Linked DNA regions of Macaca mulatta. The protein of the gene in region 3 interacts with the protein of the main gene of each other region in a pairwise test. Links are inferred from orthologs where the notes say so. Each region holds a gene or a part of one and is shown on either strand. Other genes may lie near its edges. The genes, in order: BNIP3L, VTI1B, LDLRAD1, ADGRG7, BNIP3, PLN and MALL.

Evidence for each region.
Region 1: the proteins of LDLRAD1 (region 3) and BNIP3L interact in binary tests that used the Homo sapiens proteins (3 or more experiments, as listed by UniProt). The two-hybrid records come from large-scale screens. The link is inferred for Macaca mulatta from reciprocal best matches to the Homo sapiens genes LDLRAD1 and BNIP3L.
Region 2: the proteins of LDLRAD1 (region 3) and VTI1B interact in binary tests that used the Homo sapiens proteins (3 or more experiments, as listed by UniProt). The two-hybrid records come from large-scale screens. The link is inferred for Macaca mulatta from reciprocal best matches to the Homo sapiens genes LDLRAD1 and VTI1B.
Region 4: the proteins of LDLRAD1 (region 3) and ADGRG7 interact in binary tests that used the Homo sapiens proteins (3 or more experiments, as listed by UniProt). The two-hybrid records come from large-scale screens. The link is inferred for Macaca mulatta from reciprocal best matches to the Homo sapiens genes LDLRAD1 and ADGRG7.
Region 5: the proteins of LDLRAD1 (region 3) and BNIP3 interact in binary tests that used the Homo sapiens proteins (3 or more experiments, as listed by UniProt). The two-hybrid records come from large-scale screens. The link is inferred for Macaca mulatta from reciprocal best matches to the Homo sapiens genes LDLRAD1 and BNIP3.
Region 6: the proteins of LDLRAD1 (region 3) and PLN interact in binary tests that used the Homo sapiens proteins (3 or more experiments, as listed by UniProt). The link is inferred for Macaca mulatta from reciprocal best matches to the Homo sapiens genes LDLRAD1 and PLN.
Region 7: the proteins of LDLRAD1 (region 3) and MALL interact in binary tests that used the Homo sapiens proteins (3 or more experiments, as listed by UniProt). The two-hybrid records come from large-scale screens. The link is inferred for Macaca mulatta from reciprocal best matches to the Homo sapiens genes LDLRAD1 and MALL.

The regions. Positions count from the first base shown.
Region 1 is NC_133413.1:28,123,417-28,127,919, reverse strand, and holds the start of BNIP3L (BCL2/adenovirus E1B 19 kDa protein-interacting protein 3-like), read right to left. Parts: upstream 2,905-4,503; 5' UTR 2,848-2,904; coding exon 2,748-2,847; intron 1-2,747.
Region 2 is NC_133412.1:140,834,523-140,838,552, reverse strand, and holds part of VTI1B (vesicle transport through interaction with t-SNAREs homolog 1B), read left to right. Parts: intron 1-1,811; coding exon 1,812-2,003; intron 2,004-4,030. UniProt on the Homo sapiens protein: V-SNARE that mediates vesicle transport pathways through interactions with t-SNAREs on the target membrane. These interactions are proposed to mediate aspects of the specificity of vesicle trafficking and to promote fusion of the lipid bilayers.
Region 3 is NC_133406.1:186,602,562-186,606,403, reverse strand, and holds the end of LDLRAD1 (low-density lipoprotein receptor class A domain-containing protein 1), read right to left. Parts: intron 2,383-3,842; coding exon 2,254-2,382; intron 1,095-2,253; coding exon 946-1,094; 3' UTR 897-945; downstream 1-896.
Region 4 is NC_133407.1:182,983,046-182,987,622, reverse strand, and holds the start of ADGRG7 (adhesion G-protein coupled receptor G7), read left to right. Parts: upstream 1-1,443; 5' UTR 1,444-1,689; coding exon 1,690-1,804; intron 1,805-4,329; exon of another isoform or gene 4,330-4,407; intron 4,408-4,577. UniProt on the Homo sapiens protein: Orphan receptor.
Region 5 is NC_133414.1:144,070,807-144,075,471, forward strand, and holds the start of BNIP3 (BCL2/adenovirus E1B 19 kDa protein-interacting protein 3), read right to left. Parts: upstream 3,006-4,665; 5' UTR 2,890-3,005; coding exon 2,844-2,889; intron 1-2,843. UniProt on the Homo sapiens protein: Apoptosis-inducing protein that can overcome BCL2 suppression. May play a role in repartitioning calcium between the two major intracellular calcium stores in association with BCL2.
Region 6 is NC_133409.1:23,532,583-23,535,747, reverse strand, and holds PLN (phospholamban), read right to left. Parts: upstream 1,514-3,165; 5' UTR 1,433-1,513; coding exon 1,274-1,432; 3' UTR 668-1,273; downstream 1-667. UniProt on the Homo sapiens protein: Reversibly inhibits the activity of ATP2A2/SERCA2 in cardiac sarcoplasmic reticulum by decreasing the apparent affinity of the ATPase for Ca(2+).
Region 7 is NC_133418.1:20,555,299-20,559,328, reverse strand, and holds part of MALL (MAL-like protein), read left to right. Parts: intron 1-3,492; coding exon 3,493-3,660; intron 3,661-4,030.

The DNA.
Region 1 (4,503 bases), on a different chromosome or scaffold from region 3:
ATAAGTTGTTTTGCCCAATGCCCAAAAATCACTTCAAGGAATCAATGAGGCTTCTTGTTTTGTTCAGTGCAGTGTTGTGTAATGAGCTAAAAAAACGAACAGAGTTAAGAGGAAAGAGGGGAGTAATTAAATATGGCATTATCTAAAAGCTTTTCAGAAAGCTCACCCTATCCCACGTAAAATATTTTCTATCTAGATTTCCCAAAGCAACATTTTGATATCCCATGCAGGCTGAGTACTTCCACCTCTGTAAGAGTTGATGTCAACCAAGCAGGAACCGACTGGCCAAAGACATCAAACTCCTCATAGGTCTGTCAGACTCCAAGATAAACAATGACATATGGCTCAGCCCTTTTTTTTTTTTTTTTTTTTTTTGAGACAGAGTCTCGTTCTGTCACCCAGGCTGGAGTGCAGTGGCCCGATTTCAGCTCACTGCAACCTCTGCCTCCCGGATTCAAGCGATTCTCCTGCCTCAGCCTCCTGAGTAGCTGGGATTACAGGCGCCCGACAGGCCAGCTAATTTTTGTATTTTCAGTAGAGAGGGGGTTGGTCTCTCACCATGTTGGCCAGGCTGGTCTCGAATTCCTGACCTCAAGTGATCCACCCGCTTCGGCCTCCCAAAGTGCTGGGATGACAGGTATGAGCCACCACGCCCTGCCTGGCTCAGCCCTTATTGTTGTTGTTGTTAAAGGGTCAAAGGAAGATGAAAATCCCTTAGATTTCAGTGAAATCATGTACACCTACCAAGTATCTTCACTCATAAGAAAATTGCACAATTAAGAAACAGAATACTAAAAAGAAACAGAAAGGTGGGCCACCTTTGTGAATTAGGTAGAATAACACACTGACAAAATAAGACACACAGACCAGCAGGAGGTTCTGGACCACTGAAAAGAAGTCCTGAAAAGAGGCCGGGTGTGATGGCTCAAGCCTGTAATCCCAGCACTTTGGGAGGCCCAGGCGGGCTAATCACGTGAGGTCAGCAGTTTGAGACCAGCCTGGCCAACATGGTGAGAGACCAACCCCCTCACTACTGAAAATACAAAAATTAGTCTGGGTTGGTGTCGGGCGCCTGTAATCCCAACTACATGGCGAAACTTCGTCTCCACTAAAAATATAAAAATTAGCTGGGCGGGTGGCAAGCATCTGTAGTCCCAGCTACTCAGGAGGCCGAGGCAGAAGAATCGCTTGAACCTGGGAGGTGGAGGTTGTAGACAGAGCGAGACTCCATCTCAAAAAAAAAAAAAAAAAAAAAAAGCCCTCCCTGAAAACAGCAGTAGACAGGCTGAACATGACAACCTCCGCTTTGCTCCCAGCCAGTTGTGAACTTGGACCAGGCTCTTAACTCTAGACCTGTTTCTCTACAGGTAAACAACAGGAGGCAGTTAGCTAGCTCTGAAGTTTTTCCCATTCTCAAACCTAAGACAGTATGCTAAACATGGGCAAATAACTTAAAATTGCATAGGAATATGTGATACGAGTAACGTTTAATGACTCAGACATTCATCCTAATTTACTGTGGGAAATAACATAACCGTCTTACATTCTGGAATGTAGGACACTTAAAGGTTTTGGGTATTAACCCATCAAAAAACCTGGAGCAGCAGCATCCGTCTTAAAATCTCCAAACTCCGTTGCTACCTGGTGACGGCTGAAACTCTCTTCCCTAGAATAATCTTCAGGCCACGCTGGAAGCATCTCCCTCTTACGAAAGATACTGCATGACCTTTAAGCATCCAAGCGGTTTTGAAAAGCCTTCATCTGGCCATATGCTCGCTACCCCCATTATCTCTTTCCCAAGAGTTGAATTAAAGAAAGGTTAGGCAAGAACCCTTCCAAGAAGGCTCCCGGTTCTCACGACCAGGAACAATCTGAGGACAAGATGTCTGGGCAGTGGAATGTTATGAAAAGACCCTGGCCTGGGTTGTCCATCAGCCTTGCCCGTTAACTTTCAATTGCCCGAGTGCGTTTTTAATTCCGTTTCTTTAAATGCATGGCCCCAGACTCCCTGACGTGTGCAGTCCCGGGTGGTTCAGGAGGCTGCTCTCAGGTTTACTGGGCGCACAACCTCATCGCTTAAAAAAAATCACTTGGGCAACTTCGAGAAAGCTAATAAAAAAAAATTAAAAAAGGAAAAAGGAGAAGCAAGGCACAGCCTCTCACCCCACACGTGACTGAAGCCCCTAGACCAGCAAATGAATTTTCCTGACAAACATGTGGCAACAAAGGAATGCTCGCTGGGGGCTCCCGAGCCCGCCAGACGCTGCCCGCCCGCGGGCCCCGCACACCTGATCCCAGACACGTCCCGCGGCATCCGCCCGCCCCGCCCCGCTCCCGCGCGTCCATCCCCCGGCGTCCCCGCCGCACGTCCCCATTCCGGCCCACGTCCCCTCCGCGGCCCGCTCCGCCCACCTGGCCTCCCCGCCCCCCAGGCCCGCCCCCGCCCCGCCCGGCTCCGCTGCTGGGGACCACCCCCAGCACCAGTGGGATCCGCGCTACCCGCGCCGCTCCCGGACCGCGAACCCAAACGGCCCCGGCCCATGACCCCAGGAGGCAACAGAGAGGCCCGGAGCAAGGCAGGCGCCCATCCTCCTGACAGGTGACGGGAGCTGTCAGTCACCCGGACATCACCGGCCTGGGCCAATGAGCTGCCTTCTCCTCCCGCCTCCCGCGCCGCGCCGGTGGCGGCGGCCGGGGCGGCTCCTCCTCCCCCATCCCCTTCACCAAGCCCTCGGCCCCTCACTCACTATTGAGGCCGGCCGGCTGCGGCAGAGACTGGCCACTTTCCTCGCAGTTGTTGTTGTTGTTGTGCAGGGGCGGCGGCGGCTCGACTAGGTGGGACGACATCGTCGGACAGCTGGCAGGGCTCCGGCAGCAGCAGGACCGTCTCAGGCTCTCAGGCAGCAACACAACAAGCCGAGTCCCCCGCCCCCTTTTCTGCGCCTGCGCTGTCCCTCCCCTGCCACTGACGTCAGGGTCCGCCCAGGCCACGTGATGACAACACAACAAGCGACCGGACGGGGCGGCGGCGTTCCCCTGCGGGTCCCGGACGTGGAGACGCGCGAGTCAAGCTGACGCGCGCGCCGGGAACGAACTCTTGCGTGTGACTTGGGATGACCGGATGGGATGAGTGATGACAATGGCACTGCGAGAGAGGATGAGAAGAAGCGGAATGAGGAAGTGCGCTCCTGTGTTAGCGCCCGTGCCTCCTCTCACACAGGCTCCATAGTGCTTCATCCAGCCCTGCACATGCATCTGTTTTCTACTGCTTAGGACTCACTCCTGCAATAGGTGTCTTGGGGACACAAAGGAAGCCCCAAACCCAGGTGCTTCCACTTGTAAACTCCAAATAAAGCTGCTGAAACATCAACACTCCATACGGGAAACAAGGGAAGGCCGCCCCCAAATTTAATTGTTATAGAATTTTTAAAATGTCGATTACAAACACACCATCATTGTAAAAAAGAAAGAGAGAAAGAAGAAAGGGAAAGAAATAAAAAAGAGAAAAATTCAGGAAAAACAGAAGAAAGCAATCACCCAAATCCCATCGACTAATCGATTTCTGGGACATGACGTGGGAAGCCGTTTATCCTGTACGTGGATGACATTTAACTATTTTCCTGAGCACACCTCCTACTTCACGTCTCCATGTCTTCGCCCTGTCTCCTTGGTCTGATTTATGAGTCACATATGTTTCTCTCAGTCTCTGACTTGTCTTTTAATTTTTTTTTCACTGTGTAGAAGCGTAAGGTTTTCATGTAATCAGATTTATCATTCTTACATGACTTGGGGAGACTTTCGCACCAAAATAATTAATCTATAATTCCCTTATAACTTTTTCTAATTTTCTTATAGGCTTAAATTTACATTCAGAGCTCTAATCCATCCGAAATTTATTTTCCATATGCTGTAAATGATTTAAATTCAATTCTCAATTTTGTAGCCCATTGACCCAATAATATTAATTTTAAGCCATCCTTTCTACCCTGATTTGAAATTGTACCTTTGTCACTCTCTGAATGCCCACAAAATTGTGAGTCTGTTTCAGGGCTATCTACAATACCTCTGTTAGGTAACTATTAAAGTTTCTCTTCGTTTGTCTTTTTCAGATGTTAATGACTAGTTACTCTTCAGATGAACTTAAAAATGGACTTGTCCAAGATTGACCATGTATTGGCAATTATTGAAGCCATGTAATGCATTATTCTTCTAATTTTTAAATATATTTGAAAAATTCCATGCTAAAAGGTTTTTTCTAAGGATTGATTTGTCAAATCCCTTTGCAAATTATTTTAAGATTTTGGTCAGAAATGAACTCTATTAATAGATTGAGTGCTGTTTCCAGTCATACCTGGAAGCAGGAGTTCAAGCCTCAGCTGGTAGGGATTGGCGGCTGCTGGCCATCTGAGTTTTTAAAAAACTGCTTGCCGTGAAGCTAGTCTGCAGCCAAAATGTCCAGCAGAAACAACAACAAGCTGCCCAGCAACCTGCCGCAGTTACAGA
Region 2 (4,030 bases), on a different chromosome or scaffold from region 3:
AGGATCACTTGAGGCCAGAAGTTCAAGACCAGCTCGGGCAACCTAGGGAGACCCCCCCATCTCTACCATAAAAAAAAATTACCGAGGTGTGGTGGTGCATGCCTCCGGACCCAGCTACTCAGGAGGCTGAGGTGGGAGGATCACTTCAGCCTGGTAGGTCAAGCATGTGGTTAGCCACAATTGCACCACCGCACTCCAGTCTGGGTGGCAGAGCAAGACCCTGCCTCAAAAAAAAAAAAAATTACTGTTCTTTCTTAAACTTACTGTCACAGAAAATATAGTTTAGAGGTAATTCTAACCATGTCCCTTTCTGCCTTAAAAGACAACATAGTAGCTGGACTTGGTACCTCAGGCAAGACATGCATGAGTCTCAGTTGGCACCCAAAGTTTGTCAGAAGTTGGTTCAGTTTACTGAACAGTTTAATAACTGCTTCTCTTCACCTGTGGCTTTTCTTTTTTTTTTCGCTCCAGCCCTATGGAAGCAAGAGTTCTTTGACTCCATCTCATTATACTCTAGCTTCAGCAAACCCATTAAGATTGGGGCCAAAATTCTGGTCCCTGCTAGTACTCTGCAGAAATAATTGCCCCTGTATTTGCTACCCCAGAGCAGATAAAGAAAAAAATTCTCTTTTGGCCAACGAACTTCCTTCTTGCTTGTTCAGTTTGCCAGTTATCACAGTGAAGTTCTGAGAAGGAAGCACATCTGCATCCTTTTCTCTGTTTTGCATCTGTTTTAAGAAAGACCAGGCCACCAGACTGTGGAAACTATCTTCTTCCTAATGGGGGTACTAGGAGCTTTTCTTAATACCTATGTGCAGCTGGGCATATCCATGATACCTGTTTGTAGCCATTCTCCTGTTTCAGTTAATACCTTGGTAGCATTTTTAAAATCTTCTAGCTACTACTGATTTGTTTGATGCTCAGATACTTGTTTTCTCCAAACTCAACAAAAGTAATAATCCTAGTCTGACCATTCCAGGCAGATGAAAATAATTTAGGGCCTCTTGTGAACATGTCCAGGTGTTATATTTTACTTATCCCAGAAAAATAGAAGTCTGATTCCCCTAAAGCACCCTGCTCTAGAGTAGGCCCCTGGTTGTCTCTAGACAAACTTAATTGATTTTCAGAAAGAGGAGCAGGAGAAGGGAAGAACCCTGATGCCAGACCCCTATCACTTTTAGTACGGTAGACTTCAAAGCACTTTTTGATGGCAGTGTTCAATCATACCAGGCTAAAAACTTGGTATATTGAAGAGAGCTGAGAGAATTTGAAGATTTTGAACCCTGACTCCTTTTCTGTTTAATTTTTTTTTTTTTTTAAATAGAGATGCGGTCTTGCTATGTTGCCCAGACTGTGCTCAAATGATCCTCCTGCCTCGGCTTCCCAAAGTGCTGGGATTACAGGTGTGAGCCACTGTGCCTGGCCCGGACTCCTTCTTTTTGTGTAATCTTGAGCAGGTTTCTTTAAGTTTTTTATATGAAATGGAGCATTTCCTACCTTATTGACTTGTTGTGAGGATTAAATGGAGAATGTATATAAAAATGTTTAGTAAGCTATAAAGTACTTCCTGTTTTTCCATTCATTCATTCAGTTCATATATTTTGAAGGCCTGCTCTGTGCTTGCTAGACAGTACGCCAGGCATTCAGAATGAGAGGAACATGCCAGACATGGTCCCTGCCTCATGGAGCATATGGTTATTTGCTTGGTGTAGTCCAAATAAATAAGTAGTTTGATTAGTCCAAACTAGGCATATTTCCAAATGAGTGCGGGAAGAACCAGGCTATCCACTCACTACTTTCTGCCTTCCCAGCTGGCAGAGATGGAGGAGGAACTACGTTACGCACCCCTGTCTTTCCGTAACCCCATGATGTCTAAACTTCGAAACTACCGGAAGGACCTTGCTAAACTCCATCGGGAGGTGAGAAGCACACCTTTGACAGCCACACCTGGAGGCCGAGGAGACATGAAATATGGCATATATGCTCTAGAGAATGAGCATATGGTAAGTTTTAGCTGTTGTTGTTGTTTTTTTTTTCCTTAAGGGCCTATATTGTTGGGGTATTTCATGTTATCAATGTACACTAGACTCTTGTTTCATTTTTTTCACCCTTATCCTCTTTTTTGCATCCAGGTCCTGTTATCCCCTTGGTATCTGCTCTATTTAATGCAGGCCTTTTGAACCATATGCATATTTAGATTTATTTTTATCCTTAATATAATACAGTCTTACAATAAAAAAAAAACAGTGCTTTGTATGTAGTAGTATATAAGTGTTACCTATTCTTATTATCTGGATTCTGTATTCTGACCCATTGATCTAATTTCTTTTCTCCTTGATCTTTTTTATTCTTTCATATAAATTTTAGAATCACTTTCTCAAGTATGCCTGGAAAATTCAGTTAGGTTTCTAATTTATCAGAATATTGTTACACAATCAATCCAAGCTTTCCTTTACCTTAATGTCAAGATGGCCCAACAACTGAGATACAGTAACCAATGCAGGACGCTTCTCCAGAAGGAACTTTCTTTTTTTTTTTTTTTTTTTTTTTTTTTTTTTTTTTTTTTTGAGATGGAGTCTGGCTCTGTCGCCCGGGCTGGAGTGCAGTGGCCGGATCTCAGCTCACTGCAAGCTCCGCCCCCCCGGGTTCCCGCCATTCTCCTGACTCAGCCTCCCGAGTAGCTGGGACTACAGGCGCTGCCACCACGCCCGGCTAGTTTTTTGTATTTTTTTTTAGTAGAGACGGGGTTTCACCGTGTTCGCCAGGATGGTCTCGATCTCCTAACCTCGTGATCCGCCCGTCTCGGCCTCCCAAAGTGCTGGGATTACAGGCTTGAGCCACCGCGCCCGGCCGCCGAGAAGGAACTTTCTATCTTTTTATTCTGTGGTAATGGAAAGTAAGCCAGACTGCCTGTCTGGCTTTCAGGATTCTGATTTATAAAATTGGACTAATTGAACATCTGTATTCTGAAACCATCTAGAGCAGCTGGATTGTTAAAGGAATAAAACGTCTGAAAGATTAAATGTGCTGCATTTGGTCTGTCTTCCACAAACACAACACAAAGTAGAAATTCTCTGGCAAGTAGCATGGCAGAGAAATAGAAAGGGGCCTACCAGTTCAGACTGAACAGAGGTAGAAAGGCTCATACTCCAATTTTAAACAAATCCTGTTTCACGATGCATCCTGATTATAGTTTAAGAGACATTCAGAATGATATTGGCTTGACATGGCTGATGCCAAAACTAGACCGCTTGAGAATGAAGTATTTAAAATTTTCAAATGGATGCCCGAGGGATCACTACAGACTAGAAGCTGACAGAAGATCACTTAAAGGGAGACTGGAAAAAGGCAGGCAGGTGGAGCTGGTGAAAGTGGGAGTTGTAAAAGTGACTTTAGTCATGTTGCCAAAGTTGGGGAGGAAGTCCAAACAATTTTGCCTTAAAATTATGAGTTTCAGAAATTATTAAAACATAATTTAGGTATCCATGCCTTCAGTAAAATTATTGTTCCAAATCTGTCTGAAGTTCATTTATGTGATCTGATCTTTTCTTGGTCATTTTTTAGCCTACTCAGTTGAAAATCTGCATCTTTCATTTTGAAAACCTTTTTCCTTCTTCCTTTGTGCTAACCTAACTGATTTTATTTGAACCTCATTCAGTGGTTTCCTCATCTGCTGGTCTGTATGCCATTTATTAAGTCAAAATGCTACAGAGCGCGGGGCATGGTGGCTTATGCCTGTAATCCTAGCACTTTGGGAGGCCAAGGCCGGTGGATCACCTGAGATCAGGAGTTCAAGACCAGCCTGGCCAACATGGTGAAACCCTGTCTCTACTAAAAATACAAAAATTAGCTGGGCGTGTTGGCAGCTGCCTGTAATCCCAGCTACTCGGGAGGCTGAGGCAGGAGAATTGCTTGTACCGAGGAGGCAGAGGCTGCAGTGAGCTGAGATCGTGCCACTGTACTCTAGCCCGGGCGACAGAGCGAGACTCCGTCTCAAAAAAAAAAAAAAAAAAAAAGGGAAAAAAGAAAA
Region 3 (3,842 bases):
AACTGGGCTGTTTAGGCGGGCAGCTGGGCATAGAGTGGAGGGTGGGGAGTGGTGGTGTGGAGAGCAGGGTGGACAGACAGAAGACTGATGAGGAGCCCTTCAAGCTGCTCTTTCTCCAGATCTTCTATTCTACAGCTCGGAGTTTCCTGTGGTGGCTTCCCACCGGTAGGATGCCAGATATCCTGTTTCGTGTGCTGTGTCACGTGGTTAAACCAGTAGAGCCTGCGGGGTTAACTGAACTGGGGGAGATGCTAAGGTTGCATCCAAGCCCAGTATCTCTGCCTTAGGTACCAAAGGGGTAGGAAGTGGCATATGTTTCACATATGTGCCATCCGTGAAGGCTAAACTCAGCTTGTCATTTAGTTCCCAGACATATCATCACTCCAAGGGGTGATGAGATTAGGATCCACAAGTCTGTCTTGGAGCAGTTAGCAGATTTCCTATGAGACACCCCAGAGACAGGCATGAAATCATGGAAGTAGATTCCTTTTCTCTTTGTTGATGTTTTTGTTTTGTTTTATTTTTTTGAGACAAGGTCTCACTCTGTCACTCAGGCTGGATAGAGTGCAGTGGTATGGTCACAGCTCACTGCAGCCTTGACCTCCTGGGTTCACACAGTCCTCCCACCTCAGCCTCCCTAGTAGCTGGGACTATAGGTGTGGGCCACCATGCCTGGCTAATTTTTGTATTTTTGGTAGAGACAGGGTTTCATCACCTCTTCTGTGTTAGAAGCCACCTAACATGGTAACGAGCTCCTGGTCATTGGAGGCATTCAAGCAGAGACTGAACAACTTGAAAGCAGGAGAGAAAATTCCTCTTCAGAAATGATGTGTAGATCCCCTTTCAAAGGCTCCTTCCTGCCCTTGTGAGCTAGGATTCAATTTTCATGTGCAGGGTTATCAGTGCCATTCTAGCCAGCCTTCCATGCTGGCCTGAGTAGCCCACTCAGGGTCCGGGACAGGCATACTCTTCGGACCAGTCGGAGCAGTGCTGTATGTGGTCGCGGCAGAGACGCCTCGGAATACAGTCGCAGTACTTGAAGAAGGTTGAAGGACAATGCCACCACCCAGGGCCACAGGGTGGGCACACAGTCACTGGGGAGACAAGAGCCAGCAGGAGAGCAGTTGCTGTGTCCTGGAATGCTCTGTGCAGCAGGGCACTCCCTAGTTCTGAAACCTGCTCCCCACGGCCCCAACCTATCTAATATGGGTTGAGTGTGTTCCTAGTTTTCCTGCAGCAGAGAGAATCTAGACTCCACAGCTCACAGACTCCACAGCTCACAGGCTATGTGACCTTGCTCACCCTGTCTGAACCTGTTTCCTAGTGTGCTCAAGCTTGTTATTAAGCAAAGGATGTCAGGCAAAGTCCCAGGCACATGGTAAAGGCTGCAATATGAATGGATGCCCTTCCTTACCCTAAGTCCAGCCACATTTACCTGCCATGACTCCCCGAGAGTGCTCCTAGCCTTCTCTCCTCTGCTCAGGCCTCTGGCATTCCTCCCCACACACCCAGCCTCTGCCTACTGAAACCTGTCTATTCTTGGTCTTCCTGAATGCTACCTCTTCTGAGAAGTCTCCCTTGATTCCTCCAGGTCCCCAGCATCTCCTTTTGGCATCAGCATGATGTAAGTCCTGGGGGTACGACACATGCTTGATTCCTGATGTCCCCCACCTGAATCTGATACCAGGTGTGTTCTGAGCACCCCACCAGTGCTCAGAAAATGTTTGTTGATTGACCACTGGGGAAGAGATTGAGAGGAAACTCTAGGGCAGCTATAGGCCTTGGGACTTGGATCAGGAGGCCTGGGTTCACACCTGAGCTCCCTTCCTGTCATGCACTGTACTAATTTTCTCTGCTCAAAGCCTCAGTTTACTTACAAACAAATTGGGGCTGGTGATTCCTGCCCTGCTTTCCTCACAGGGTTATTGGGAGGTGCAGAGATGAGGGAATCCCAGGTTCAAATCCCAGCAGGGTCACGTATGTACTCCTTGCATGACCACCTTCTGGGACCCAGTTTTCTCATCTGCGCCCTTGAAGGCGACTTCCCCACTGCAGAAGAATGAGCCTCCAGAAGTCACTTAGAGTGGTAGTGAGTACCCCACCACAGGATGTATTCAAGCAGGGGTAGAAAACTTCTTCCTAGGATGCAGAGAAGGCATGCAAAGGGGAGCCCTAGAGATTCCCTGGTCACCCTTTGCCCTCTGGCTGCTGCCCAGCCACCGGCTTCAGCCCAGCCTGTGCCCAGACCCCTACCTGGGCTCAGTTCATCGGAGCAGTCCCCACAGTTGTTAGTGCCATCACATTTTTGGTCTGAGTAGATCCAGGAGGCCGGGTCTCCACAGTGGGCCACGAGGAAGCGGGGGAGGCTCTGGGGCACATCTCCTGGGACAGAGGAGGCAGGAAGAAGTTCACATCTGGTCACAGCTGTCTGAGGGTTATCTGGAGAAGGATTGGCCGCCCTGGCAGTTGCCAAACTCAGGATCAGTGACCATCCAGCCCATAAGGGTGCAAGCAGAAGGTTTCCTGGGGAGGCGGCGGAGTCAGAGGGAGAGGAGAGCTCCGTCGCTGGACAGAGGCCCAGAGAGCTGCCCCTCCCTTCCTCAGTTCCTCCCCAGTCGTGGTGTGTTCCTGCCCCACGCCACTGCTGATCCTATGCCCCTCCACAAAGAGCCTCCTTAATACCTATGCAAAACCATTCCACTTTCAAGTTCAGGTTCAAGTTCCATCACCTCCAGGAAGCCTCCTCCAACTGGAACAGCACAGGAATAAATGTGGAAGTCTTACAGTTGGGCCCCGGAGCTCAGGGGAAGTGTGTTCTGTTAGGCAGCAGTGTGATAGGGCTACCAAAAATTCACACAAACTCAGGCCGCACCACTAGAGGTAGAAAACCTCGGGCAGGGAGGGAGCAAGCTTCTGTTCCTTAGACTGCCCAGACCCAGCCAGAAGCGCCGAGGATGTTTCTGAGGCCTGTCCAGGGAGGGGGACATAGGCAGTTGGTATTTATTCTGTGGAGCATTGATGGAATGGGGAGGGCCAGGAACTCGGTCACAAGGGGGCTGACTGTGACCTAGAGAAGGGGATGCGGCCTAGACAAGAGAACCCGCAATGGGGGGCAAGGAAGTAATCTTCAAATCCATGCAGCGCCACCATGATGGCAGGGATTAAAGCATGGTCTATTGGGGCAGGGTTGACAGAAGGACAGAGTTGGAACCAATCAGGGAAGAACCACTCTGGGAGGCAGCTCTAAGTTTGGGACAAGGAAAACCTTCCCATGGAAAAACCTTCCAACCCTTGCATCTCAGGGGGTGCAAACGGAAGCCGGGTGGCCTCGGTTGGGCTTGCTAAAGAGGGGCCTGGGGATGAGCTGGGGCAAGGACTAGATGTTTTTGAAATTGCTTCTCGTCTTGAGGGTCTTTGATGCAATGACTCGCCCTCCATGAGCTCCCCTACCCCACCCACTGCACCTCTCCAGGCTGTCTCTCTCCTGTGGGGTCAGGCTTCTCTCTCCTGAGAACATTCTGGTGTCTGAGGTCCGGGGCCAGGTCTTCCCATTCATTCATTTGCTCATTCATTCAGCAAGCCATTCTGAATACCCCTCTGTGCTAGGCGCTGGGGCCCCCATATCAAGCGGACTGGGCCTGCCTCAGAGGAGTTCACAGTCTGATGGGGGCAGCAGATGTGCCAATCGAGTGACAACCAGTGTGACGAGGGCTGCGACACAGGGAACCACAGGGACTGTGGAAGCCCAAGGAGACAATTTAACCTCGTGTGGGAGTCAGGGAAAGCTTCCTGGAGGAGGTAACACTTGAACTCTGCCTTGAGGGATGAATACGGGTTCTCTG
Region 4 (4,577 bases), on a different chromosome or scaffold from region 3:
ATTCTGTTTTTCACTTTCACTGCAGTATTCAATATATCACAGGGGACATTCGACACTTTATTATAAAACAGACTTTGTGATAGATGATTTTGCCCAATTTTATGCTATTGTAAGTGTTTTGGGCACCTTTAAGGTAGGCTAGTCTAAGCTAGGATGTTCAGCAGGTTAGGTGTATATTTAATGCATTTTGACTCATGATATTTTTAACTTAAGGTGGATTTATTGGGATGTAATCTTATTTTAAGTCAAGGAGCACCCACGCTCCATAATAATTAAATTTGATATCTTTTATTTTAACAGTTATGACTTGCCTTATAGGTGGCTATATCTAGGTATCTCACCCCTGAGAAAATACGAGTTCTTTGAGGACCCTGTTCATTTCTTGTACCAATTCGAACACATTAAAGGGATTTAATATGGATTTGATGAAGCGAGGGAGTGTCCAGAGAAGACCAGAGCACCTGTTCTCTCTACCAGAACAAAACTGTGATTAAGGAGGTGAATGTTCGTTTATCTGTTCTTTCAGGTAAGGGTGGAGGATAGGGAAGGAGAACATGGGAGCCTGGGCAGGGGAGGGTCAGAGCTGCATCTATAGAGAGACACCAGTTTGTAATTACTCTGATGATATATTAGCTTCCCAGGGCTGCTCTAATAAAGTACCACAAACTGGATGGCTTAAACAACAGAAATTTATTGTCTTACAGTTTTGGTGGCTAGAAGTCTAAAGTCAAGGTGTCAGCAGAGCCAGTTCTTGCTGAGGACTCACTCTTTGGCTTGTAGATGGCCGTCTTCTCTCTCTGTCCTTCTGATCATCTTTCTCTATTCATGTCTGTGTTCAGATTTCCTCTTCTTATAAGAACACCAGCCATATTGATTAGTGACCACCCTAACAAACTCATTTTAACTTGATAGGCTCTGTAATAACCATATCTCCATATAAGGCCCCATTCTGAGGTACTGAAGGTTAGGACTCCAACATATGAATTTTGGAGGGGACACAATTCAGCCTGTAGCAGATGGGTTATCATGCTGGGCTTTAGTGCTTTTCAAGACCCACCCTGTGCCAGTATGCCCACTCACCAACTGCATCTGTCAAAATGTAGGCTCCTTAAAGAAATGAAAGCATTAAAATCACATGTGGTGATTGCCATTTATCCTCTTGTTGACAAACTAGTTCATTTCCCTGAGAGAGTGTTTTGTGTGGTCTGAAGCACCTGCCAGTCTATCCGTGCTGTACCCTCCCAAGACAAAAACACAGGAAGCCGAGCCGTAGGTGACCACTGGCATCCACTGCCTTCATGATTTCCTCTTTGGTTTCTTCGGTTTTGTTCCCTTGCTTCACTCTGTGACTTGTCTGGACATTCACTCTTTGACCCTTGTGGCTAGTCCCTCCCCTTCTTCTTTATTGCCTGGAGTTATCTCCCTATTCCCATAACTCTAATCACTTCTTTCACGTTCTCCTTCAGTGAAGGATGAGGAAATTGAAAGCAGAGTATGCACGTTTTATTAGGAGATTCAAACGGCATCCTACTGCATTAGCCTCAAAAGTCCTAAAATATAAAGACATCCATCTGACAGATCACTGAGGGGAGGACTTATTTTTCTGTTTTAGAAGTTTCTGATTAAACTCAAGAAGAAAAGAAGCTAGTTGTTTCTCACCCAGGAGTGGATTTGTGGTTTGGCTTCACCATGGCTTCTTGCCGTGCCTGGAACATTAGGGTGCTGGTGGCTGTCGTGTGTGGGCTACTGACTGGCATCATTTTGGGACTGGGCATCTGGAGAATTGTGATCAGGATCCAAAGAGGTAATGTCCTGCTATGTTTAACTCAGAGTAAGAGAAGGCATGGGACCTCTGTCCCTGCCACCTGAGGCACAAGTACTGGGAGGTGCCTTGTCCAGTCTGAGGCATCCCAGCAAGATGCCATTTATGGGATATAAAAGACCAAGTCAGTTAAGCCTAGCAGATGGTTGAACAGAAATGAATAGGTGTGGGTGTGAATGGGGAGGGGGAAGAGTGACATAATTGAATTGGCGTCTTTATGCTCTTTTAACTCCAGACTGAATTGGTAGAAGAGTAATAATTAAAACAATTAGTAACACATGTTTAGGTCTGTTGGGTTAAATTAAGGAAAGGGTAAATCGTTATGAACAAGGACACACACATGCAGCAAACACGTACACACACGTGCATAACACACACACAATCAAACATGCACAGAATAGAATTTCACTTTAAGAGAGAAGTTAAAGAAACTCATCACCAAGGTTTAAGTGAAATGATCTCATGGTTTGCACACAAATTTCCCACTTTCCAGATGTAGGAAATTAATCAACAATTTAAAAATCATTTTTAAATGACTTTCCTGATTATTCAACAAATATTTATTAGTTCCCCACTGTGTGCCAGAGCTGGCCTGGAAAAGGAGGACGTGGGAGGGGAAGTATTGAGTAAAACAATGATGTTAAAGCAAAGCCTGCTGTAACTCAGAACAGAAAATTTCAATGATCCTAATGCTGGATCCCTTGGGCTGTAGAGCTTCTCCATAAAGGAATTCAATATTGGATGGGCTGCATACTCCCTTTTGTAAAAATCAGAGAAAGCTTCTAATGAAACAATAAATAAGGGTAAGTGTCATGCACGTCCATGTGAAGAGACCACCAAACAGGCTTTGTGTGAGCAACATGGTTGTTTATTTCACCTGGGTGCAGGCAGGCTGAGTCCGAAAAGAGAGTCAGTCTTCAGCTGCTAAGCCGAGAAGATCTGGGAAGGAGTCAGTCAGAGAGTCTTGGCCCAGAGCTCCAGGGGCTCTGGGAGTGGCTGCCAGGTGAGTTGAACGGTCCGATTTCCAGTGGGGTCCCGCACAGATGGGACACGGCTTAGGAGGAATCCTGGGCTGCGGGCATTCCTTGGCCCAGTGGCCAGATTTCCGGCACTTGTAGCAAGCTCCTGGGGGAGGAGGTTCTGGAGGAACCCCTGGCAGCTGCGGTTCAGGTGTTTGGAGTTGTGTGCTGGAGATGTGGCTGGGGTTTGTCTCACAGTGGAGGCAAGGAATTGCAACTCAGAAATAAGTTGCTACTTGGCTGCCTCTACTATATTATTGTACACCTTGAAGGCGAGGTTCATTAAGTCCTGTTGTGGGGTTTGAGGGCTGGAATTTAATTTTTGGGGTTTTATTTAATGTCAGGAGCAGATTGGGTAATAAAATAAAATGCATATTGAAAATAAGATGGCCTTCTGACCTTTCAGGGTCTAAGGCTGAAAAGTGTCTCAGGGTTGCTGCTAAACGGGCCATGAACTGGGCCTCTAAGTTTTTCATATTTGATGAAAAAGAGCCTAAATGCTAACTGATTTGGGAGAGGTCGGATAAAGAAAAAGGAACATTAACCTTGACTATGCCTTTAGCTCTAGCCACTTTTAAGAGGAAATTGCTGGGCAGGTCGGGGAGGGCTAGTCGCGGAACGAAACTGTAAGCCAGACCCGTGTGAGGAGGGGAGGTGATAAAAGGACTATAGGGTGCGGGAGCAGAGACTGAGGAAAAATTGGGACCTAGCTTGGCCTGGCGAGGAGGGGAGAGGTCAGATGGGTCTGTAGAAAGGGATGATTTTTAGAAAGACTCACCGATGCTTGGGGTTGGGGCTGAGGGGACAGGTGGGAGGAAAAGAAGGAAGATTTGGGGCGAGTTGCATTGGGAACAGAGACTAGGGAGGGACCGATGTGTAAAAGAATGCCTGGACGTCAGGCACCTCAGACCGTTTGCCCATTTTACAACAATTATTTAGATCTTGCAGGATGGAAAAATCGAAAGTGCTGTTTTCTGGCTATTTGGAACTACTGTCGAGTTTGTATTGGGGTTAAGCAGCATTGTAGAAGAAAATAAGGCGTTTAGGTTTTAGATCAGGTGTGAGTTGAAGAGGTTTAAGTTCTTGAGAACATAGGTTATGGAGAACGAAGAATGGAGGGTGGAAGGTTGCCTGCGGTGAAGGAGGCAAGCCCAGAGAAAAGAGAGAGTGGAGACACAGAGAGAAGGAGTTCGGAGGTTCTTGCCCTCCAGAAAAGCAGGAAAGGGGTCGGGGAGCAGAAATAAGGTATTGGGGTGCCAAAATAAGAGATCAGGGTGCAAAAATAAGAGGGGGCACAAAAATAAGACGTCAGGGCGCAAAAATAAGAGGGGGCAAAATAAGAGATCGGGGTTCTTGCCCCTCCCCTAGAAAAGCAGAGAAGGGGTAGAGACAGGGAGAGAAGGGGTCGGGGTACTTGTTCCTCCCCCAGAAAAGCAGAGAAGGGGCAGACAGGGAGGATAGGGGTTGGGGTGCTTGCCTCTCCCGCAGAAAAGCAGGACTTGCCGCTTAGGGTGAAGGACCAAGGCAGACGTCCCTGCAGCGTGGTCAGACACCCCTGAAACGTGGGTGAGTAATCAGAGAGGCGTTCCTGCAATGATTAAACACCAAGGGAAGGCTGCCTTCCCCAGTCCCTGACCGGTGCCGGCGTTTTGGGTCCACGGATAAAACGTGTCTCCTTTGTCTCTACCAGAAAATGAAAGGAATTGAAATTAAGAGAAGGGAGAGATTGAAGGGTG
Region 5 (4,665 bases), on a different chromosome or scaffold from region 3:
TGCTGTTTTTACCTTTAAAGCTTCTCAGGTTAGTGTGGAGAGGAACAAAAGTGACTTGCCTGACAAAATATTTCAAGCATCAGGTCAGCCCGGTAGGTAAATCAGGTCCCTGGCTTCTAACGGCTCACTTCCCTCAACCTTCCCCCCTTGCCAGGCTCTCCTCCAGGACCCTGGCCTATGGCACGCAGCCTCAGGCATCTGGGCTCCAGGTATCCCACTGGTGCTTAATGCAGAGTCCTTGGCTTCTCCTTAAGTTGCCAGCCTTATCTTTCACTCCACCTCTAGAACCTCATTGTGACCATCTATGAAATGCAGGTCTTGGACAAGAATCTAGATGTCTGCAACCCCTTCAGGTCTCAAAGCGCACAATGCTACAATTCCGCTCCAAAATAAGTGGAAGCATCTTTTCCCCTATTACAACTTTACCCATGGTGAGTTGCCTCTGACAAGAGAACCATCTGCCAGTTGCAGACACAGCAGTAGGTGAAGAGCTGAGGGCTTGGATCATTAAATACGGAAGCTCCAGAGTAAATGGGCAAGCAGTTTACTGAACTGATGCCCTCCTGGTGAAGACAGTGGGTCCTTCAAGGAAGTGACGCCAAGCAACCGTGACCCGGTCTCATCACAGAATCCTACCTCTCCTGCATGTCAGCAGTGACATGCCTAGGAGAAAAAGCCAAGTTCTCGGCTGCAGTGAGCTTGATAATGATTGTGCTACTGCCCTCCAGCCTGGGCGACAAAGTAAGACTGGGCTCGTAAAAAATAAAGAGGAAAAAAAGGACGAATACGAGCATCCTGCGGGTCAACAACAATAGCCAGAATGATCAAGAGATAGAAAGGAACGGAATCAGCCCATTTTGCCGTCAACTCCTCAGGAAAAGCAGCTGGCCCCAGAGGGTACAGGCAGAGAGAGTGCTCGCTGCTTCCATCTGTGGGTCTGGCTGCAAGGCTCCCACAGTTCTCTGTTCCGAGGTAAACAAGGGGCAGTGAAATCAGAGGGGCAGAGGTGAGCGCTGCCTGGGCGAGCCACCGCTCCGCGCCGGATTTGCAGGCGGCTGGAGCCCGCGGGACAGGCCAACCCCGCCCACGCCGAGCCCACGGTGGCCCCGTCCTGACGCGCGGACACTCAGGGCGGCCCAAGGAATCGCCTACATGGGATCCACCCCGCGGGTAACTATCCTTTTACAGAATAAACAAAACAGAAAAACAAAAATCTCGCAACTCCGGCGCTGGCCGTCTTGCACTGCCAATGACTCAGCAGCCTGTGTAAGTTACATACTGGAGAGAGGACTGAGCCACCCCGGGGCCCCCTCCACCTCCCAGCGCCCAGATCCCCAGCCAGGCAGTGAAACGCACAATGTCAGGAGTAACACAACCGGAAAATGGGTGATTTTATGGCAAAGAGTTTATAAAAACATCCCTTGGATTTTATAACAAAAGTCAGGAAAACACCCCTTAATATATTCCAAAATAGTAATAACCAATGTTTAAATTTCAAGAGGAAAAATCCGAATTACAGGATTTTTAAAAATATGGTTCTAGGGCAGGCGCGGTGGCTCAGACCTATTAATTCCAGCACTTTGGGAGGCCGAGGCGGGAGGATCGCTTGAGCCCAGTTCAGACCAGCCTGGGCAACACAGACCCCGTCTCTTAAAAAAAAAAAAAAAAAAAAAAAAAAAAAAAAAAAAAAAATGGTTGTAGTGTTCAAATATATATATATTTAATATATTACAGTAACTAAGTCCTGCCTAGTAAAATTTTTTTTTGTAATAAAATTAGCAACTCACTGAATTTATGTGATACATGGTTTTAAAAAATCTCAATGAAGATTAAAAGTTCACAGTCAGAGGTTTCCGCAGCCCGTTCCCAAGCTTATTTACATGCTAATTTTGCTTAGTAAACTCTGGCTTCAGAGAACACAAAGGTCAGCTGCCACCAGGTCCCTCCTCCCAGGCTTGGGCCCTAGGGACCCTGGGAAGGCGGCTTCAATGTCCGCTTCCCTGAGCAAATGCTGTCTGGACTCTGACGCGGACCCTCCGGGTGGGGAGGGTCTCCACGCCACCTGGCTGTGCGTGGGGCAAGTCCTGCACCCCGGGCCTGCGTTTCCCGCTGCGCGAACGCATGGTCTTGCGAATCTAGCCAAGGGCACAGGGCGAGCCTCTACTCGGGCATTAAGCAGCCTGTAACGACTGAGTGCGGCACTGGCAGCGTCCTTGTGCTTGTGTTTTCTTAACCCGTAAGTAATTTAAAGCTTTGTTTTGGAACGACCCTCTAGTAGAACTGGAACATGCCCATTAAATGCCATATTTTAAAAACACTGTAACCCCCTCCCATCTCCGCCTTCACCCTTCAGGAAATCCTAAATCACCACGGATATAAACATTAATAACAAAATTAAAGCACATAACAGTCCACTGGCCACGCCTTGGTGTTTGGTCGTTAAAACCAATACGGGTCTGAACTACAGACCGCGGAGGGCAACGTGGACTTTGAGGCTTCTCGGACCAACTGCGAGACGCAGATTCACCTCCAGGTGGAATTCCAACTTGGCGGAGCTGGAGAATCGGGGCTTTCCCGTGCGGTCCGACCCGGGTCCAAGCCAACCCCCGCCCGAGCGGCGAGGCCGCGAACCCCGGGCAGTACGTGGGGTCCCCATGCCCCGGGCTCCGCACGCCCGCAGGAGGGGTGGGCACGGGAGGGGCGGGTGGCGCAGCCTCGCACGGCCCGCGATGTCCCCCAGGCCTCCCGGGCAACCTCCCTTGGCGCCCCCTCGGCCTCCCTCTGGCCTTCCTCCAGGCTTCCCCCCGCGCCCCCTGGCTCCCGCGCCGCCTCCCCGGCCTCACCCTGCAGGCTCTCCTCCTGCATGCCGGGCGCTCCGTTCTGCGACATGGCGCCGGAGGGCGACTGCGGCGATGGGAATCCGCGCCGGGCTGCGGGCTGCGGACTGCGATTCAGCTGCGGGCGCTGGGAAAGCGGAGCGCCGCGGCCAGCTGCGCTCCTGGACTGAGCCCAGCCCCGCCGCCCGGCGGGAGGAACTCACAGGGCGGGGCGGGGCCAGGCGGATCTGCGGCCGCGTCGCCCATTGGCCGCGACGCGGGGCCTGCGCGTGCGCACGGGCGTGGAGTGCGTGTGGCACGTGCGGCGCGTGCGCGGGGCGGGTCCTGGGGGGTGGGCGAGGGGCTTGCGGTGCGCGGGACGCGGGCGGGGACAGGGGCGGGACGAGGGGCGCGCAGGCGCTGGGGCTTCAGCGACCGCCTGAGGTGAGCCGGAACGGGCGGGGCGCCGCGGCCTCGTGACGAGTGGGCTGCGAGGTCGCCGCCGCGGTAGGCGGTGGGCCGAGTCCTTTTAAAGGGGCGGTGGGGCCGGTGGGCGCCCTGGGCACTCGCTATCACGGGGACGGCGCTGCGCGTCGGGGCGGGGCCGGTCTTTACATCCTGCGAGTGGGGAAACTGAGGCGCGGGGCTGGCAGCGTCCGTGCGGGGGGCGTGAGGACGTGCAGGGAAGCGGCCGCTGCGGCCCGTAGGGTCGGGACGGCCCGTGGGGTCCCCCGTGGGGTCGGGACCTGCGCCGGGGAGGGAGCTGCGAGCGGTGGCCGGAGTTGAGCGTCTCGGGACGGGGCCGCGCCCCCGGGTCTCTGCCCGCCCCGCCGGGGCGCCCCTGCGTGAACAGCGGGGCCCGTTGTATTTGGGGCGTCCGCCCGCAGGAAGAAGCGGAGGCTCGAGCAGGGTCGGAAGAGTCCCCGGAGGGAGACGCAGACCCAGGGGCCCGGGAGAGGCGCCGTCCGCCTCTGCGGCGAGGGGCTTCCGGGGGGCGAACGCGGTGTGGGGCGGGCGGTCCCCGGGGGTGGGCTGGGGCCTCCGCGGGTCACGCGGCGGAGTGGCGCTGGGCCAGGCCGGGTGGGTGCCGGGCTTCCGTGGGAGCCAGCCTGGCAGGGGGGCCTCGCGGCCTCGGGACCGGGAAAAGGCGCACAGTCTTCAGAGGAAAGTCAAGTTTTCTCATTTCCCGCTTTTGATCAAAAGTCTTCCTTTTTGAAAGCATTGTTGATCCAAATCCAAGTATCGAGGTGCGCCCCAGAAACGCTGCTTCCCAAACAGCCGTGCCTGGTTTTGTGGGGAAGGAGGACGCTTCCCGCCAAGGAACCAGGCGCTCAGAAGCTGAACCGAGGTCACAGCCGCGGAGCCAGACCTCAGTCGCTGCGTGTTTTTCATCGCTGCTCTTGCCTGTTGAATCGTCTCTAGTCTTTGGAGTGCCATGATCTTGGTTTTCTGAGAAGTAACAAACATCCAGAGGCCAAGGTGGGGCACAAGCCTTTCATCTCAGCACTTTGGGAGGCCGAGGCGGGAGGATCGCTTGAGCCCAGGAGTTGGAGACCAGTCTGGGCAACATGGCGAAACACTTTCTCTACCAAAAAAATACAAAAAAGTTAGCTGGGTATGGTGGCACCCGCTGTGGGAGGATTGCTTGAGCCCAGGAGGTAGAGGCTACAGTGAGCCATAATTAGGCCACTGCACTCCATTCTGGGCAACAGTGTGAGATCCTGTCTCAAAAAAAAAAAAAAAGTAAAACAGCCAGAGATAAATGGCATAACATGAGTAATTTCAATAGTAGAACTGTAATACTGGCCAGGCAGTGGCTCTTGTCTGTAATCCCAGCATTTGGGGAGGC
Region 6 (3,165 bases), on a different chromosome or scaffold from region 3:
CTTACTTTATTGTAGGAATACAGTGTATAATACATATAACATGCAAAATATGTGTTAATTTACTGTTTATGTTATCAGTAAGGTTTATGGTCAACAGTAGGCTATTAGGTAGTTAAGATTTTGCAGACCCATGGATTGTCAGCTCCCCTAACCCCCATATTCAAGGGTCAGCTGTAGATGTAATAGATGGGCCAACAAGTTCATTTCAAAATATAATCTAAGAATTAGTTAATATTTGGAGAGAGAATTCATATTTTTATTTTTTTAAATACTTGAGATAATATTTTTTTTTGTCACTGGAAATCTTGTATTATTTTCCTTGCCTGCATTGGATGTTAGGTTGGAATGGAAGACAACCTGTAAAATCAGTCTGAAGTCTTAAGGTTTCATGATTCAAAAGATACAGCGTGGTAAACTAGGTAACTCTAGGTCAGATAATTCACTACAGTGTCTTAAATGAAGATTAGATTCTATTCTGTTAGTATATTAGTGATATGACTAATCTCACTGTTACATATTAACCCCCAGTTCTCATCTGTTGATCATATGTCTTAGAACAGATTTATGGTTTACCTACAGGTACTAGAATTCTGTGATTCTTTGAAAAAATTACTTAAGAGTAATTTTATTATGTAAGAGTATGGCCTTACTTTTCCATACTTGATTCTCATCAACTTTAAAAAATGTTAATGTGGCATAGCAAAAATGCAATTTCTGTTTTAGAATGTTACTACAAAGAGTTACTACAGAGTTCTTTATAATAAGATAACAGATGTGAGGAGTCAGTGGACTGTTTTGAATAATGACACTTCATTTGTGTTATTACTTTGATACTTGGTGAAGACTTGAAAAACAGTATTAAAGAAGCTTTTACAGTGTAATATAAGTTATATTCACCTCAAAAGAGTAAAGATAATGCTTTATATATGAAGTGAACTTGTTGGCAGTGCAGTTTCAAAACTAAACTCTTATTTCATCTTCAGAAAAGATTTGGGATACAAATTTGTGAGCCATGTTGAGGAAATCAACAGTTACATTTTATACACTTATTTTAAAGTTAATTTTTGAAAATAAAGCCCTTTTCATGTTTACAAGATCCAGCAGATGAATACATTTGCTAACAATAAGTTTTAGTCTTAATCTTGACCTTTTCACAAAGAAACTCTTCTACTCAGGAAGTGGTCTGTTTTACAGTATTGTTTTCCCGTCTGCATGGGATGACAGATTTTAAGCTGATGTGGCAAGTTGCAGATCTAGAGGTTGTAGCAGAACTTCAGAGAAGCATCACGATGATACAGATCAGCAAGAGACATATTAAGATGAGACAGAAATTGATAAATAGATTCTGTAGATTTTGACGTGCTTGTTGAGGCATTTCAATGGTTGAGGCTCTTCTTATAGCTGAGCGAGTGAGGTATTGGACTTTCTCCATGATACCAGCAGGAGAGGAAGTCTGAAGTTTTAAGTGATTGAGAGAAAGATAAAAAGCTGGTAGCCAAATATGAGATAACTGTCTTCTTTTAGGTAGCCTGGAATGTAAAAATAATAAATAGATTAGAATAATATATGTAACCTATTATCAGGACAAAAAATACAATGTTGTATTAATTCATCTTCCTCAGCACTATTGTTATTTATAACATCAAGTGTTTCTATAGTCTCTCTCTCTCTGTCTCTCTCTGTGTGTGTGTGTGTGTGTGTGTATGTGTGTGTGTGTGTGTGTGTGTGCGCATGTGTTTCCATGTGTCTCTCTTTCTCCTTTTTTGATGGGGCACAACATGACAGTCTCATTTGTGTTAGGAGTAGTAACTTCAGTCTTTGCCTTTTTCTCCCAAATTTACTACAAGTATTGCAGTAATCCTCAGTGTCATCCATAAGTTCCTGGAAACCAAGACTTTATGCAAAACAACATATAACAAAACCATTTTTACCCTAGGCTGATTGATGTAAATAAGAGGTAAGTTCCTATAGCACATTTCTGGTCACAAGAACATCACCAAACTTCTCAATAAAGACCCAAACACTTCTAATATTAAACGTTGAGAGAAATATGAATTATATGTACATTTAAGAAAGATTAATAAAAACCAGATAGGCCGGGTGCAGTGGCTCACGCCTGTAATCCCAGCACTTTGGGAGGCCAAGGCGGGCAGATCCCCTGAGGCCAGGAGTTTGAGACCAGCCTGGCCAACATGGTGAAACCCTGTCTCTACTAAAAATATAAAAATTAGCTAGGCTGGTGGCATGTGCCTGTAATCCTAGCTACTTGGGAGGATCGCTGGAGCCCAGGAGGCAGGGGTTGCAGTGAGCCCAGATCATGCCACTGTACTCCAGCCTGGGTGACACAGCAAAACTCTGTCTCAAAAAAAAAGCCAACAAAGATAATTACCCAGTATTTCGTGAATCAGTGAGTAACAGTGGTTGTGTTGGTCAATTAAAAACATGGAATCAATGTTTGAGAAATACAATGGGATCTCTGAGTGCTTTTGTGCCATAGCATTTATTGTCATGCATTTGTATGATCACCCTAGACTTTACCAGTTTTTATTTGATAATAATTTGTATTCATCCGTTCATTCATTTTTCAACCCTCTTATTCTGGTTTGGGGTGCTGGTGGCTGGAGCCAATCCCAGCAGTCAAGGAGGGAGGAACCCACCTTGGATAGGAGACCACTCCATCACAGGATACACTCATCTACACACTCACACTCAACCCAGGACAACTTAAACACGCCAGTGAACCTAATGTGCACAGTTTTGGGATATGGGAGGAAACGAGAGTCTCACAGATATGGAGAGAACATTCAAGCTGCACACATACTTAAATGTTATAACAAAATGACATAGAAGGAAATGATGTTATTTGAGGACCTGCTGTATTTGGTTTAAGGTACAGCTCGTTTTGGGTTATTCTTTTGGGTAAAAGTTCTCACATATAGTTTCTTTAAATCTGTTACACTGTAGATGTAATTGGTTTGATCAGTTACTGTATTAATAGCTCCAGAGCCAATCTCATAAAAAGGAAATGCATACAACAAATTGTTCCCTGGATCTTGATTTTAATCCAAAATAAAATAGTGTTAAATGGGAAGTGTTTTACCAAAAATACGGATTGAAATTGTCATTCCTTTTTATGATTTTATAGCTTTATAGAATGTTATCTTA
Region 7 (4,030 bases), on a different chromosome or scaffold from region 3:
GTTAAGCTCCATCTTTCCTTAAGACATCCTTCCAAGTTTCAGTTCAGCCTTTTGGAAAATTTATATATGACTGTGTGTGTTTGCTTATAAGAAAAGGATCTGCCAAAGTTGTGCTTGAAATCTACTTGCTCTAAATGGCTCGCTGTAATCAAATATTTCTCCACGTTGAGGGCCAGCCCCAACCATTGAAAAAAAAATATCTCCTGCTCTGAGGAAATACAAAAATAAGCATTAAAATGGGAAAGCAGTTTAGGCCACCAGGAAATTTGGAAAGCCAAATGTGAGCTTTAAGAAGAAGTAAAAACAAACACTCAAAGTTTTCACAACTATAAGGAATCCAAGCTACACTACTTAAGACAGAAATGAGATCATGAACTCCACTGGGTTTAAATCCACCTGCAGCCCTTGGCTCTGGCCCCTCCTACTGTTCAGGAGGTAGAGGGGTGTGGAAATAAGAAAGTGAGTGACTTTCTTCTGCAGAACATTGATTCTGCAACACTGAAGCCATTGCAGGAAGGTTCCCGTGACATTTGAGTAGATTCCCAAATGCTCAGAGGCCCCTGGCCTGTTGTGAAAGGCAGGACAGGGATCCCTAAGCCGTAGCTGGAACCCAGAGAGAGGAGGCCGCTGATGGGCTCCCTGAGACTGCAGGTATGATATCCCCATCAAGGCCCTTAATGCCCCAGGCAGAACTTGGCTGAGGCTCTAGCAGGCCACCCTCTGGCACATTCTAGGAGCCTCCACCTGGCCCTGCCTTTGGCCTTGAAATCTGGTTTTTGGGGCAAGAACCACAAGTGTCCTACACCATGTCCTAGTCCCACCACGCACTGCCTGTGTGACCTCAGGCCCCAGTCCCCTCTGGTACAGTATTACCTCATGGACTGTGGCAAAGATTAAACATGAGAATGTAAGTAACATGCATGACTGTGTCTGGCCAAGGAAGCTTCTGATGGCAAGAGGGGGACCAGGACCCGTCTGCAGGCACTGACTGGCAAGATGCGGCTGAGGTTCCCTTGCTGTCCCCATGCCTGGCACAGACGAGCTGGCAGTAAGCAGTGGAAGGTATCAAATGGTAGTTCTCTGGTCTTTCCAAGGGAGTTAGAATTGCTGTGTGGACTAAATGAGGCAGTCTGAGTGAATGCATTTAAAAAACTGTAAAGTACCTGGTGAATCACTAATAACCAGCATTGTTCATGTGCCAGCATTTTAATGCACTTCTCATAGCTTCTTGGCAAGTGCCTTAAAACTGAGCCCTGGTACCTTTCTGAAGCATCAGCAGCCCTTATCACTGGGATTGACACGCAACAGCACAGTTGAGCGGGAGCCAGAGGACAGCGGCTCCCATCCCTCCCGCCCCCTCCCTAGGACAAGCAGGCCTTGACTCATTCTCCGGCAATCTCAGACCAGCCTAGGACTTCCAAAATTCACTTGGATTTTGATTGTTAAGGGGGAATTTGCTCCCAGAACTGGTGCTTTAAGAGGCAAATTCTAGCTTCAGTTCTAGCTTCTCATCTCCTTTTCCCCTTTTCTCCTTAAGAGCCCAAGAATGCTCCATAAATTCAAAGACAACAGCTGACAACAGCAAGGGGAAGCCTCAGAAAGTAAAGGGTGACATATCTATGTCTATGTATTGGCCAGTTGTAATATAAGAATTGCTGGTCCCAGAAAGCTAGGGATATAGTTTGGAAAGCAGAACTCAAGTTGTATATCTTTTGGCTGAGCTATAGACAAGGGCTTGAAGACAGGGCACAGTGGCTCATGCCTGTAATCTCAGCACTTTGGGAGGCCAAGGCAAGAGGATTGCTTGAGGCCAGGGGTTTATGACCAGCCTGGGCAACAAAGCAAGCCCCTGTCTCTACAAAAATTAAAATAAAAATTGGCCAGGTGTGGTAGTATGTACCTGTAGTCCTAGCTACTTAGGAGGCTGAGGTAGGAGGATCATTTGATCTCAGGAGTTGGAGGCTGCAGTGAGCCATGATTGCACCTCTGCACTCCAGCCTGAGTGACAGAGAGAGACTCCCTCAAGAAAAAAAAGTGAGTGAAGTTGTTTGGTCTAGAAAGTTTCTGATACATCTTTCAGAACTGAGCTACCTCCACAGACATGAGCTCCCAGTCAAAATTCACTAAACATGAGAGGAAACAAGTGAACAAGAATAGAAGTTAATGGAAGCCATAAACTGCAGAATCAAGCTGTTAAGGCCAAGTGAATGGAATTTTCAGATATTAAATGTAGAATGAACACTAAGCAGGAGTAATAAAAAGATATCCACCTCTCAACACATGGTATCACTGTTTCACAAACTGCAGAATGCTAAAGACAGAGTGAAGACTAAATACAGCCGAATAAGGAAGACAGATTCCTACAAAGCAAGAGTTCAACTGACAGCTGACCTTTCAGCAGCAACCGTGGAAGCCAAAACACAACAGAAGCATACGGGAAATATACAACATGGCGGAAATACATCTCGGAAGTGCGGAGAGAAAATAATTGTCAGGGGAAATTTAAGGACGTTTTCTAATAAATCAAACTGACTACTACCCACTGACCTTCACTAAAGAGATTACTAAAGGGTGCACTCCAGGAAGAAGGAAAATTATCTCAGGAGGAAAATCTTGGATGCAAGAATATCTTCATGACTCAAAATAGAGAAGAATTTCTTAAACTTGATAAAAACATAGTCAATAAAGGAAAAGACTGACATATTCAACTGCCTTAAAATTACGGGCTTAGTTAATCAAAGGAAACCATAAAGTATGTGAATGCTAGCAGAATATATTTGCAATGTTTATGACAGTCCATGAAATCCACACCATTAGCAAGAATTCCTATGAATCAATAAGAAAAAGAAAAATCTATTTTAAAATATTTAACTGATTAAAAAAATAAAAAACTTTACAGAGGAAGAAATATTAGTGGCTAACAAATACACAAAAATAAGCTCTATCTCATTAGTAATTCCACAGTGTCAGTGAGCAACAGGGAATGTCCCACAGCATGGTGTGAGGTTAATTGGGTGAGGGGATGTGGTCCACTGAGGACTCCAGGTCCTTTTAAAGAGACAGTCACAACTCATTTCAGCCTACTCTGGCCTGAGAAATGGGTACCCTGTGGCCAGAACCACAGATTTCTAAAGAAATGTCCCAAATCTGGATTTTCCATGTGAAATATCCTGTTTTAAACATTGGGAACTTATTCAGAATTGTTTAAAAGTGTGTATGCCAGTACTGCTTGAGCCAAAAGACACATTCACAGGCCAGACTTGGCTGAGTCCCTCTGTTTGTGACCTCTGCATTAACCCCTTGAATTTTCTAACAATCAGACCTGACTTTACCGTGACTCAGAGGGGCCAGGCTTCCTTCTCCATTTCCCTCTTGGTTCCCTCCTAATTTCACCTGAACTTGTAGCTAGACACAGAAAAGAGATGCCCTGCAAAGAGAAACATGCTCCATACTAGCTAATGAAGCCCCTTCTTTTATGCTTTTATCTTCCAGATATTTGGGTTCCTGGTCTGGACCCTGGTAGCCGCCACCCACGTAGTATTCCCATTGCTGCAAGGATGGGTGATGTATGTCTCAATCACCTCGTTTCTCATCTCCTTGATGTTCCTGTTGTCTTACTTGTTTGGATTTTACAAAATATTTGAATCCTGGAGAGTTCTGGTAAGAACCAGCAGCATGGCTCCTCCTGGGTGGACGTCCTGGGTTGGGTGAGGACAATTGGCCTTTCTGGGCAGGGAGGTATCTTGGGCTAGGCTTCTATGGAGCCAAGACATTTTATCTTAGTATGTTACTACCAGGCCAAAATGAAGACATTTCTCTGCAAGAGTAAATCATTCCTTGTATTCCCCTTCACTGCCTTCCCTGTTAGGAGAACACACAATGCCCTGTGATCAAGCATATTCTGATGTGTTTCCCTTAAATTTTCTTCCTGGTAAAATCCTTGGAGCAACGCTGAAGAAAATGCTAGTAGGAAAAAATCAGTCCCATCTCAAGGCTCTATCACAATCCCTGTGACAGGTTATTTCTTCCA